Astyanax mexicanus: one gene and its partners. The protein of the gene in region 2 binds, or shares a complex with, the protein of the main gene of each other region. Links are inferred from orthologs where the notes say so. Each region holds a gene or a part of one and is shown on either strand. Other genes may lie near its edges.

Evidence for each region.
Region 1: ruvbl1 (region 2) and uxt share a complex: the UniProt entries of both Homo sapiens proteins name them as parts of the PAQosome complex. The link is inferred for Astyanax mexicanus from reciprocal best matches to the Homo sapiens genes RUVBL1 and UXT.
Region 3: the proteins of ruvbl1 (region 2) and actr6 are in contact, whole or in part, in a cryo-EM structure (PDB 6IGM), measured with the Homo sapiens proteins. The link is inferred for Astyanax mexicanus from reciprocal best matches to the Homo sapiens genes RUVBL1 and ACTR6. Residues at the interface, in NP_003698.1 of Homo sapiens: Lys162, Thr163, Ala164, Lys165, Gly166, Thr167, Tyr209; in NP_071941.1 of Homo sapiens: Tyr217, Tyr300, Arg338, Cys339, Leu340, Thr341, Pro342, Thr343.

The regions. Positions count from the first base shown.
Region 1 is NC_064419.1:3,787,669-3,791,425, forward strand, and holds the start of uxt (protein UXT), read right to left. Parts: upstream 2,883-3,757; 5' UTR 2,543-2,882; coding exon 2,460-2,542; intron 1,281-2,459; coding exon 1,199-1,280; intron 74-1,198; coding exon 6-73; intron 1-5. UniProt on the Homo sapiens protein: Involved in gene transcription regulation. Acts in concert with the corepressor URI1 to regulate androgen receptor AR-mediated transcription. Together with URI1, associates with chromatin to the NKX3-1 promoter region.
Region 2 is NC_064412.1:16,298,454-16,302,210, reverse strand, and holds the start of ruvbl1 (ruvB-like 1), read left to right. Parts: upstream 1-1,145; 5' UTR 1,146-1,290; coding exon 1,291-1,431; intron 1,432-2,234; coding exon 2,235-2,321; intron 2,322-2,431; coding exon 2,432-2,564; intron 2,565-3,274; coding exon 3,275-3,426; intron 3,427-3,515; coding exon 3,516-3,605; intron 3,606-3,757. Other genes in the region: eefsec (selenocysteine-specific elongation factor), read right to left, coding at 1-245. UniProt on the Homo sapiens protein: Possesses single-stranded DNA-stimulated ATPase and ATP-dependent DNA helicase (3' to 5') activity; hexamerization is thought to be critical for ATP hydrolysis and adjacent subunits in the ring-like structure contribute to the ATPase activity.
Region 3 is NC_064417.1:36,535,732-36,539,488, reverse strand, and holds the start of actr6 (actin-related protein 6), read right to left. Parts: upstream 2,360-3,757; 5' UTR 2,199-2,359; coding exon 2,131-2,198; intron 2,024-2,130; coding exon 1,906-2,023; intron 700-1,905; coding exon 631-699; intron 494-630; coding exon 370-493; intron 358-369; exon of another isoform or gene 1-357. Other genes in the region: gtse1 (G2 and S phase-expressed protein 1), read right to left, coding at 3,724-3,757. UniProt on the Homo sapiens protein: Required for formation and/or maintenance of proper nucleolar structure and function. Plays a dual role in the regulation of ribosomal DNA (rDNA) transcription.

The DNA of each region.
Region 1 (3,757 bases), on a different chromosome or scaffold from region 2:
CTCACACTTGAGCTTGAACATAGAAATTACAGCCAAGGTCTACATCTGTCTTAAGCTCTTTGCTGTCAGCTTCCTGAAAGGTAAGAAAGGCTACAGAGTCAGAAGTGGTGAGAACATACAGCAATCTGCCTTAATGATAATACAAGTTCTTTGTATTTCACTTAATGTGCATGTTATCAGGTTCACTGGGACTATAGGAGCACTTTGACACTGTTTCTTTTTATACTTTACTATGCCTCAAATTACCCTGTTCTCCAATGTTCAGGACTAGGGATGGGCGATATGGCCCTAAAATAATATCACAATATTTTACAATATCGATACTCTTGGCGATATGACAAAACAAGGAATTAAAAAATAATAATTTTAAGAAAACACTACTGCAACAAAATGAAAATGTAATTTTATTATTGCATACAATATGATATGGCACACCCCTAACTGAGATATATAATGGGAAATGAGCTCAGTGTGATTTTTGAAATTGTTTTTGCTAAAAACAGTTAAAAAAAAAGTACCCTGATGTGATAATTAGGGGTGTGTGATATGGCACAATATTTCAAGATATAATATCGATCATGATATTCAAAACCATTGGCAATATTATTGCGACGATGCAATTTGGCACACCCCAATTCAAGACCATGACAAAGCAGGTAAATGTACCTCAGGTGTGTTCAGGTACATTTCTCGTTTATTGCTATCTTAGCAACAGAAAACACAGGTGTGCCACGAACTAAAAACAACCTAGACAATAGTCATCAGTCAGATGTTCATTGCTATCTTGGCAATGCAGTATGCAGATAGACAGAACCACAGGATTACAGTCTATAATTATTGAACTGCAAAGTGCAAGTGCTCCTTTTTGCTCAGTTTACAAAAGCTATGGAGCAGATACATAATATCAGTAGGTCAGTATCAGCAGAAAATGCATGAATGAATCAGGAAAAAACGAATCTGATCCTGTAACTAAAACCAATCCTGAGAAAAACATGCACAGTGAGGTTGTTAGGTGTGTGTATCTTCCTTTAGGCTATGGGAGTGGTTTTAACACGGTGGCCTACTTTTAGATGCTCATCTTACTGGAATATGTTAATACCGGTATTCTGTTTTTTGGTCATTTTTACATGAGAGTACAGATTTGAATGCAGTTGAGAGGCAGTGAAACTAGAAACAAATAAAATACAATAAAGTGTACCTGAATACTTTTGATTGTATTCTTCAGCTGGAGATACTGTGATATTTTATCATACACTCCATCTCTCTGTTCCAACACTGTCCTAGATAAAACAAGCACAGTTACATTATATATATATAAATATAATGCAGTACAAAACATTAGAATTAAAAAGCATCTTATCTGGCCAGGTGTGAATGGGGAGCATGAGTGTTAAATGTGGGGTTCTCTTATAATGGCAAATGAATATTTAACATGGCACCTCATAATAAAGAACTCTCTGAGGATGTGAGAAACTGAATTGTTGCTCTACACAAAGATGGCCATATGCTAGCATACTAAAACTGAGCTACAGCACAGTGGCCAAGTTCATACAGCGGTTTAACAGGACAGGTTCAAATTTTATATAAGCCATATCCGGATGTTTGCTTAAAAAATGACACATAAGTGCTGCCAGCATTGCTGCAGTGGATGAAGACATTGGAGCCTGTCATTGCTCAGACCATCGGATTCATACTATATTAACTCAGTCTGGATAGCCATCTTCTAAAACTGAAGCAAAAGAAAGCCTACAAACAGTCTGCAGAAGACATGCAATCCAGGAGAGTGCAGTCCACTGATTGATCTATTTTAGGCTTTTATTTATATTATTGTTGATTAATATGGCTTACAGCCAATGAAAACTTCAAATTCAGTCTATAAAATTAGAATAGACCAACTGGTCCTTTTGGCAGAGTGGGCAGCGTGCCAAGTCCTGCTGGATAATGAAATCCGCTGTAAGATCTTCCGGGATAACAGTGCACTGACTTTGAACCTGATGTAACACAGTGGACCAACACCAGCAGATGACATTAAATTAGTTTATTAAAAGTTAATTCATTTAATTTCTTGTTAATTAATTGAATAATGTGTTTGAAAGAATCAGTTGTAAAGTTGTGAAGCGGTAGAATAGGTATACATTGATTAGCCCTATTTGAGTAATGTTCTAATTCATATTATGAGAAGCAAGAACTACTCAATAAAATAAAGACAAATGTTTAAGAAAAATGAAGGTCAGGCAATTTAAAAGGAACAATTTTAAAGAACTTTAAAATTATCTTCAAGTGTAGTCACAAATGTTCTGATGAAACAGTTTTCTCTGTTGTACAGGATAAATAAATAAGAATCCACAAGTTTTCAGCACCAATAAGGTACCAAGGTGCCTGAAACATCTGCACAACACAGTGTGATGTATATAAAGGCTAAATAAACAAATTTCTCATGTCAGTGTACAGCTACTCACTGTAAATCTCTCTTCAGAACGTCACTGATAAAAGCTTCATACTGCAGGACTTTGTCGTCGATGTTGAGATTACCAGAAGTCATCCTGCTAATTTAGTTACAGCTGCAGTTTCCACGTGGCACGGTAAAAAAACAAGCTGGATCTAGAATAACCTCATTAAAACACCGAAATTCAGGTTTTTCTTCTCCTGAGCTGCAGAATGAAGCTGACAGCTGAGAACCTGCTAACAGGCTAGCTAGGCTAGTTAGCTAGCAGTTATTTCAGGACTGACAGGTTAACTAGCTTCATAAAACACACACGCTGAGATATTAACACTTTTCCTGCGAGTAAATATCTAATAATTACTGATCTGCCTCGCGTAATCCTGCGCCATGTGAGAGTAAAGCGGTTGTTTACAAGATACCGGAAATAGCCATGACACGCAGCAGGAAACGAGAGGAACTTAAATTAATTATTATTATATTTTTTTAAAACTGATTTAAAAATTCAGAATATAAATAGAAAATATATGCTACACGTTTTGATTGGTATATTATAATAATAAATAAATACTATTAATAATACTTTTAATAATACAGGTGTTCATATTTAAATAACGTTAATATATTTACTTTATAAAAAAACAAAACGATATTTCCAATTTGTTAGAAATTTTAAACACATTTTAAATAATTTAATAACTAAGAGCTCAGGCTTTATTTATTCAGTTGTTTAAATTGTAGCTTAGCAAATGTATTCACGTTTTCCTTTATGTTTCATACAGAAAATACAAATTATTGTATTATAGAAAAAAATATTTTTGTGTTTAAAGATATACAAAAGTTCATTTTTAAAATAATAATCAGACCCAAATCATTAAGCTTCTTTCGTTACCGTTAGCTTACATTTTTGTTTAGTTTAAATTTTAAAAAATACATAAAACATAACATCATATTAATAGCATATTAATAGCAATTGGTCGCATATTGCTCTGATATTTAAACGATTATCTATATTTCACATCTATTATTATATTTATTTATTTAGAAGATTGAGTCCAAAATGAATGGATGTGAATAGGGCTAACAGCTAAAAACTAAAACTAAAAAAAAAAAAAAAAATAGTTACTATTCACTAATTCTTGACATTCCTTTAATTTTATAAATTGGATTAAATAATTTCTAAAAATGTAAAGAAAATATGCCTGTATGTTTCCTTTTTCTACAGCAAACAGGTTTTGGACAACAGATTCGCTAGCAATGCTGCTAACTACTGTGTGCTGATTGGTTGGTAAGAGATGTTGGTCATAGTGGAGTCAA
Region 2 (3,757 bases):
CTCTCCCCGCAGGCCTCTCTAAGGTGGTACGGTAAAGGGACGGTGAAGGCGCTAAAGCCCAGATCCAGGGTGATGCCTCTCTCTTTGGACTGCGGGTTCTTGTCGAAGGCAGCGGTGGAGGCGGTGCTGCTCAGAGCCCTGGCTAGAGACGTCTTCCCGCTGTCCACATGGCCCAGGACACCCACATTAAAGTTCAGAATCTGGGGGAGGAGGCCGTCCCCAGCGTTAGCGCTCGGATCTGCCATGTGTGGAAGAATTAAAGACAGGATCCGAACGAGACACAATAGGGAAGCAGTGGACTTTGATCTAAGATGACTGTGCACTTTCAGCTTAATTCACACCAAAAAAAAGTTGTGCTGCTGAAAAACACAGATCTTGTAAGTTAGCTGGATGCAGTTTAACTCAAGCACCTCTCAGATGTCAAAAACGAGTAATTTCAAACTGAACCAACTCGAATCAACTCCCTCCTATACAGACAGTGCGCCATATCATATCGTTTGACAGATACGCTAACTACACTTCCTGCGTCGCCTAAAAAACACTACCTCCACCTACGGAACATGTCTCAGGGAATGGGACCCAAACGTAGGTAGTGGATAGTGTTAGCTAGCTGACTAGCTAAGCTATATGAGCTGCTGCTGACCTACTGCAAGTAAAGTTATAATATAATACAAGTAAGTAAATAAAATAAAATAGTACCAAAAACAAGATAGCTCTGTTTAGCTACGTATAAATCCACAAGACTGCACTTTTATGCAAAAACATCTTGACTGAGGACTTAGATAAATTCAAACGATGCTAAAACTAAAATATGCTGTAAGACAAAAAACAATGCAGAATCCCCAACATTTATAAAATAATAATAAAAAAATTAAACAAAATTTATATATAACTTAAGTTAACCTGCAGTGAAACATCTTACGTTAGCTAGCTAAAGCACGCAGCGCACAGTTATAGTTAGCTTAGCTTCTGTTTCTAGACGGATCTTTAAACTCGCCCACCAACGGAAAGGGCCAGCTAACGTTCTTCAACGTTAGTTCTTCAACGCTTCTGATGAACATCGGTGTTGACCAATGAGCGAGCAGATCGGAAGACTCTTAACCAATAGCGATAAAGAAAGAAGCTAGACATGTTAGCAGGGGCGGTGACTTCCCGAATCTCCTTGGTTACCCGCATGGAAACGCGGTCCCCCGTGTTTGCAGTCGCGCCGATTTCAACGGCGAAGCAGAAGAGCGCTGCTGGGCACGGAGAGAGCTTCTACTCGAGCTTTGATAATCACAGAAAAGAGCCATGAAGATCGAGGAGGTGAAGAGCACGACGAAGACCCAGCGCATCGCCTCGCACAGCCACGTGAAAGGCCTTGGCTTGGACGACGCCGGCAATGCTAAGCAGACCGCGTCCGGCCTGGTTGGACAGGAGGCCGCCAGAGAGGTAACTAATTAACATGGCTAGGAGAGCTAAGCTAGCTAACCTAACCAACTAATGGGGAATATGTGAGCTGACTTACTTTCTAGCTACCTAAGTAGCTTACTAACTAAAATATCATTTGATTAGGAAAACCGACGACTTGCAATGAACTAGAGCACAGTGTGTGTGTGTGTGTGTGTGTGTGTGTGTGTGTGTGTGTGTGTGTGTGTGTGTGTGTGTGTGAGAATTAGGCTAGCGTGCTAACTAATGTGTGTGACACCTGCGTCTGTAGCTAGTGTAACTAAAGGTGCACGATAATATCGGAACTTTATCGGTATTTTATTCGTTTAGTCAGAATGATTTTTTTTAGTAATGTCGGTATTTTTTTAGGTGTTTTCAGAAATTTAATTAAAGACAAAACTGGTATTTATATGCTCCTATTGTACTCAAAACAAAACTTTAGTCAGGTCTACTGTCCCAGCGTTTTGCTCACTGTAGCCTAGATAACCTAGCTAACATACCTTATGTACTAAATAATTAAATAGCTAAAATTAGGGGAGTGTCATATCGTTTTTTAATATTGTAAACAATATTATACCCTGAAATATTGTGGTAATTAGGGGTGGGTAATATGGCACATCAGGGTATTACCTTTCCTATTATATATCTACGAGAGACAGATTATAGTTAGCTATGTTAATACTTGTGAATTGCTAGTTTATATTTAAATATCTGCAGATTGCAGTATATCTGCTGACAACCTCTTCTTCTGAGAGGCTTACTAAATAACTGCAGCTAAATGTTCCCAATGGTCCTATTTTTTCCAGGCATGCGGCATCATTGTGGAGCTGATTCGTTCCAAAAAGATGGCTGGCCGAGCTGTCTTACTTGCAGGGCCACCTGGAACTGGAAAGGTAGGCAATACAAACCAGTGGCTTTGCATAAAGACCAATGTTGATGCAACTAAGGTTGACGAGTAGTAGTTTAGTGGTAGTGTGTATAATCACCTGTTTATGCCCGTCAGACTGCTCTTGCCCTGGCCATGGCCCAGGAGTTGGGAAATAAGGTGCCATTCTGTCCGATGGTGGGCAGTGAAGTGTATTCATCTGAAATCAAAAAGACGGAAGTATTGATGGAGAACTTCAGAAGGGCTATTGGTGAGTCCCCATAATAATACATCTACTTTCACAAGTTATGCAGAATGCTGGAGAAGAAATGCTCTGAGTGAAAACTTGATGTAGAACTAATAGGAAATATGAGAATACAGTATTATTTGTAAATTGTTTAATACAATGTACTACATAGGTAATAAGTGAATAACACTAAATATGATTAAACTCATTAAAAATGCAGTCTAAAGTGAGTGATAAATGTTGTTTTATGTAAAGCCATTGGGCTTTTATTTTGTAGGCTACAGTTTTCATACCTGACATTTCTGTCCACCCCAGTCACTGAATGGATTTAAGTTTTCAAGAATATTGATACAACCTGCAAATTCAAATAAGAGATTTGGAAATTGTTATGGTAATATTATTTGTGTAAAAAATGCTCCTAACACTTACAGATACAACAATATCTGTCTGTTGATATAACCTGTCATAAGAGAGGAAATGGCGTAAATAATCTTAAAGGGGGAGAGAGGCATGCTGTACGAGGCCATAGAGAGTCCATTATACTGCTGTCAACATGCCCTTGACATTTGCCCTTTGCTTTTGGCTCACTCATATTGAGAGAGAGTTACTGAACACCAGTAGGCAATATGCAGAAAAAAAAATTGGTTACTGTGTTACCAACACACTTTGCTCCAGAACATCCAACTGCCACACCAATATTTTACATTGTTACATTGTGTGTGTGGTCTGTGCAGGTCTGCGAATTAAGGAGACTAAAGAAGTGTATGAAGGTGAGGTGACTGAATTAACGCCATGTGAGACAGAAAATCCAATGGGTGGCTATGGGAAGACTATCAGTCATGTCATCATCGGCCTGAAAACAGGAAAAGGAACTAAACAGCTGAAGGTAAAAATTAAATCTAAAACACATCTTTGTGGTAATGTGAGAGATAATATTTGTGTATATACCATGTGCTCTATTTCTCTGTGCCATAGCTTGATCCTAGTATCTATGAGAGTCTACAGAAGGAGAGGGTGGAGGTTGGTGATGTCATCTATATTGAAGCCAACAGTGGTGCAGTCAAGGTAAGGACACACACAAGCTATTAGTTGTGTTTTTTGCACACTCACAGCACACTCTTGGTGTGTTGATGTATCTTTTAGTCGGTGCAGGTGGGCAGGCAGTCTGGCAAAGGATTAAAGACAAGACTGTATTTCGTAGTGCTGACAGACCTTTC
Region 3 (3,757 bases), on a different chromosome or scaffold from region 2:
TCCTGCTTATGTCAGATGTTGAAAAGACTAAATTGTTCCACAGAAGTTTTATAAGTTACTCAATATTTGCATTATTTAATCCTATTGTACTTTTACATGTTATGTAAAGGACATATTTACCTTTCTTGAGTCATTAATTTCCCAGCATAACAATATGGTTACTACAGTATGGTTAGCACAGTGTAGTAGACAGTTGCAATGCTCTGCTTTTGAAAGACAATTGCTACAGCTTGCTGTATCATGTTTACAATATCTGTACCGTGATAAAAAAAGTTGCTATTGATAAGACCATAAATGTAAATATGTAAACACCAATTTACTCACCTCTGTCCACTAATAAACTGTACAAAAATATGAGGCTGAACTTACCATTGATTCTTAATGCTGCTTGAAACTGGTACTCTTCAAACAAAATCTCATTCATTGACTCTTGAATTGAGGTGAAGTTGAAGTAGGGCTCTGTTATCACTATGCTGGTGTCAGCAAAATCAACCTGCCAAAATTTACAATTAAACACTGATATCAATATCACAGGTTATGGGTAAACATGTAATTTTTCTCAATTTATAACTGGTTTCATACTACTACAATGTAATGTAACTGTGTTGTACTAGAAAAAAAGGGAGATACCTTAAACATTTCTTTTCCGAACAGATGATCCCACACTTTACGCTGCACATCCCAGTTAACAAGATAACCCTGAAGCAAACAAATATTTCAAAATAAACAGAAGCACTTAATTTACATTTTCTATCCACAAATACTGACACCTTCTCAGACCTTCATGCATTTTTTAGATGTGTATCAAGATCTGAATGTATTTAACCATGAGAGCATTGGTGAGGTGAGATACTTATCCTGAATGATAAATCATGAACATAACTCAAACTAATCCCAAAGTTACTGAATATATTTTTACTATTCCAGCCAAATACTGGGTGGCTCTACTCTTGGCTGTGGACATAGTAATCACATTACATTAGAACAGATGCAAATGCATGTATGTAAAGTACACACTCCAGCGAGTGCATGGATGTGAAAAATTCCACCACCAACTCACCTAACTGAACATCAGCAAGCACTGATTTACCAAACCAGGTGTGGGATAATAAGTATTAATAATAGCGATGCACCAAATATATGGCAACCAAAAATCTTCAGCTGTAAATGGCAAAAAAACACTTTTGGTGTTCAAGTGAATAGATTACACTTCGTTAGTATATCTATTAGGATTTTTGTTTTAAAAAGTTCAGGGGTCAATAAATATTTTGAATTGTAGTTTTGTTATTTCCTTTGAATGGCAATAAAAATATATACATTCAGGAAATTCAATTTCTGGAGCAAATTTATGAAAACTGAGAAAACATGTTTGGTACTCATTTTAGTCCGGTGCATTCCTAATAAGGAGAGTTTAATAAACACAGTGATGAAAATCCACTACCATTTAAAATGATTGTTTTAGTAGTTTAACAGAACAAATATTTATGTACTGCTGTTTAATTTAAATCTTCACAGTTTCCTAAAATTTGTATACAGTACTGTATGTACATATACAGTCAAACGTTTGAACACACCTACTCATTCAATGTTTCTCTTTATTTGTTAATTTATTTTTTTACATTGTATATTAATATTAATGACGTGGAATTAATTAGGAAACAGATTGAATTATGAAGTAATTTGGGATGAGATGGTGATTTGGGATGAGCTGGAGCTTTATAGCGTGAAGCACCTCCAGCTACTTAAAAGAATGTAAAGTAGGAAACATATTTTGGCTTGTGTAACACTTTTTGTTTACAAAACAATTTTGCATGTGTTTCTGTTTAGCTTTAATGTCTTCAATATTGAATTTACAAGGTAGATAATAATAATAAAACAAAGTATGTGGCTGTGTATCTAGCTTACCTTCTGAAATGGTAGAATATAGAAGAGGCCAGATGGATCCTTGATTTCATCCAGCTGATTGGCAGTGTAGGTTTTTAGCCTCAGAGTTTTGGAGCGAAATTGGCAATTAGGAAGAACACTGAGAAAACAAGGAATTAGATATCATTAATTCAGTTTCTAGTGGCCGAGTGTAGTACGTGTTGTGTAGCTAGTTAACTAACAGGTTATTTAACCTAAACCTCCTACCTGACTTTCTCATGGCTGTATCCGATCTTAGCTGTGTAAGCTCCGTTATCCAGGACGAGGGTTGTCATTTTCAGCAGCTGTTATTCAGGGTTAAAGTATTCAAGGCGTGTTTTAATGGAATTAAACTCCTTAAATAAACTCCATTCTCTGCAGTGGGAACTGAGACTGCGCTTCTGCGCCTTTACGCAGTTTAACTGTATTCAGCTCTTGTTCTTCTCCAGTCCAACATTATATCAGCAGCATAACTGCGGCTACTGCCCCCTGCTGCACCGGACATGTAAATATATTGTCTTCATGCTTATTATAAACATACATTCTAAATATTTGGATTTTTTATATTTAGTGAAGTGGATTTAAAAAATCGCCTTTACATTCAAGAGCACATTTCCTTCAAATGTGTATGTGCCTTACAGTATGATGCTAAGCAGAACATTCCCAGAACATATACAGCTCTTGAAAAAATGTTTTGTGTATATGTTTGAGTAAAAGAACATTGTTTTTTTAATTATATGAACTACAGATATCTCTTCCAAATTCCACATAAAAAAATATTGTAATTTAGAGCATTTATTACCAGAAAATGAAAAAAAAAAACAGCTGAAATAACAAAAATATGCAGAGCTTTCAGATCTCAAGTAACGCCAAAAAAAAAAAAGTTTATATTCATAAAATTCAGAAATCAATTTAATAACCTTGGTGGAATAACCAGTTTTCATGGATCTTGGCATGCTCTCCTCCACCAGTCTTACACACTGGTTTTGGATAAATGATTGAGTATATTATCAGGTCATTATCAACCGCTTTATCCATTAAGGGTCGCGGGGGGGTGCTGGAGCCTATCCCAGCAGGCATCGGGCAGAAGGCAGGATACAGTATATATGATTGAGTATATATGATTGATTATATTGCAGAGGTTTTCATTTAGGTAAAAATCAAAGAGACTCGTATTTTTTTAATTTATGGACACTCCCTCATATAATGCATTCAGACACTTTAACAAGTCATCTAATAAATTCACAAATAGTTGGGGGATGATGTGGGGTAGTGATCATACAACATCCAAGACCCTGACTCTTGTCCTAGCAGAAAATATACTTTTACTGAATGACCTCACTGGTTTAAGCTGTAGTAGACAACCCTGAATGATGCAGCAAGTATCTGATACTCAGGCACGGAACCAAAGGTGTATCTGCCTAGTTAAACAACAAGATAAACAATTTGCTACCTGCTTCTGCTTCATCTCTGATTTACTGACCAAACTATAGAATTTTCTTGAAGCAGGAAATACAATTTGGAATATAGGAATCATAGAACATAACACATTTAAACATAAGCACACCAATTAAAGTTAAGATATTTTATTTGTACCTTTTGAGGAAAACAAACAAACAAATATAAACAAACAACATGGACAAGGAAAGTTTTCTTTCATATTAAAACAATCACCTGTGTATGATCAAACATACAGATAAAATCTACATTATTATATCTCTAGGGTCTTATTAGGCACATATGCACTCTCATATCCTCTTTATTAACAGACAGTGTTTCTGATTTGCACTTTTATTTTCCTGGTTTTGTGAACTTGGTCCTTTAAAAAGATAAGTCGATTAGCAGGGCTTCCTTC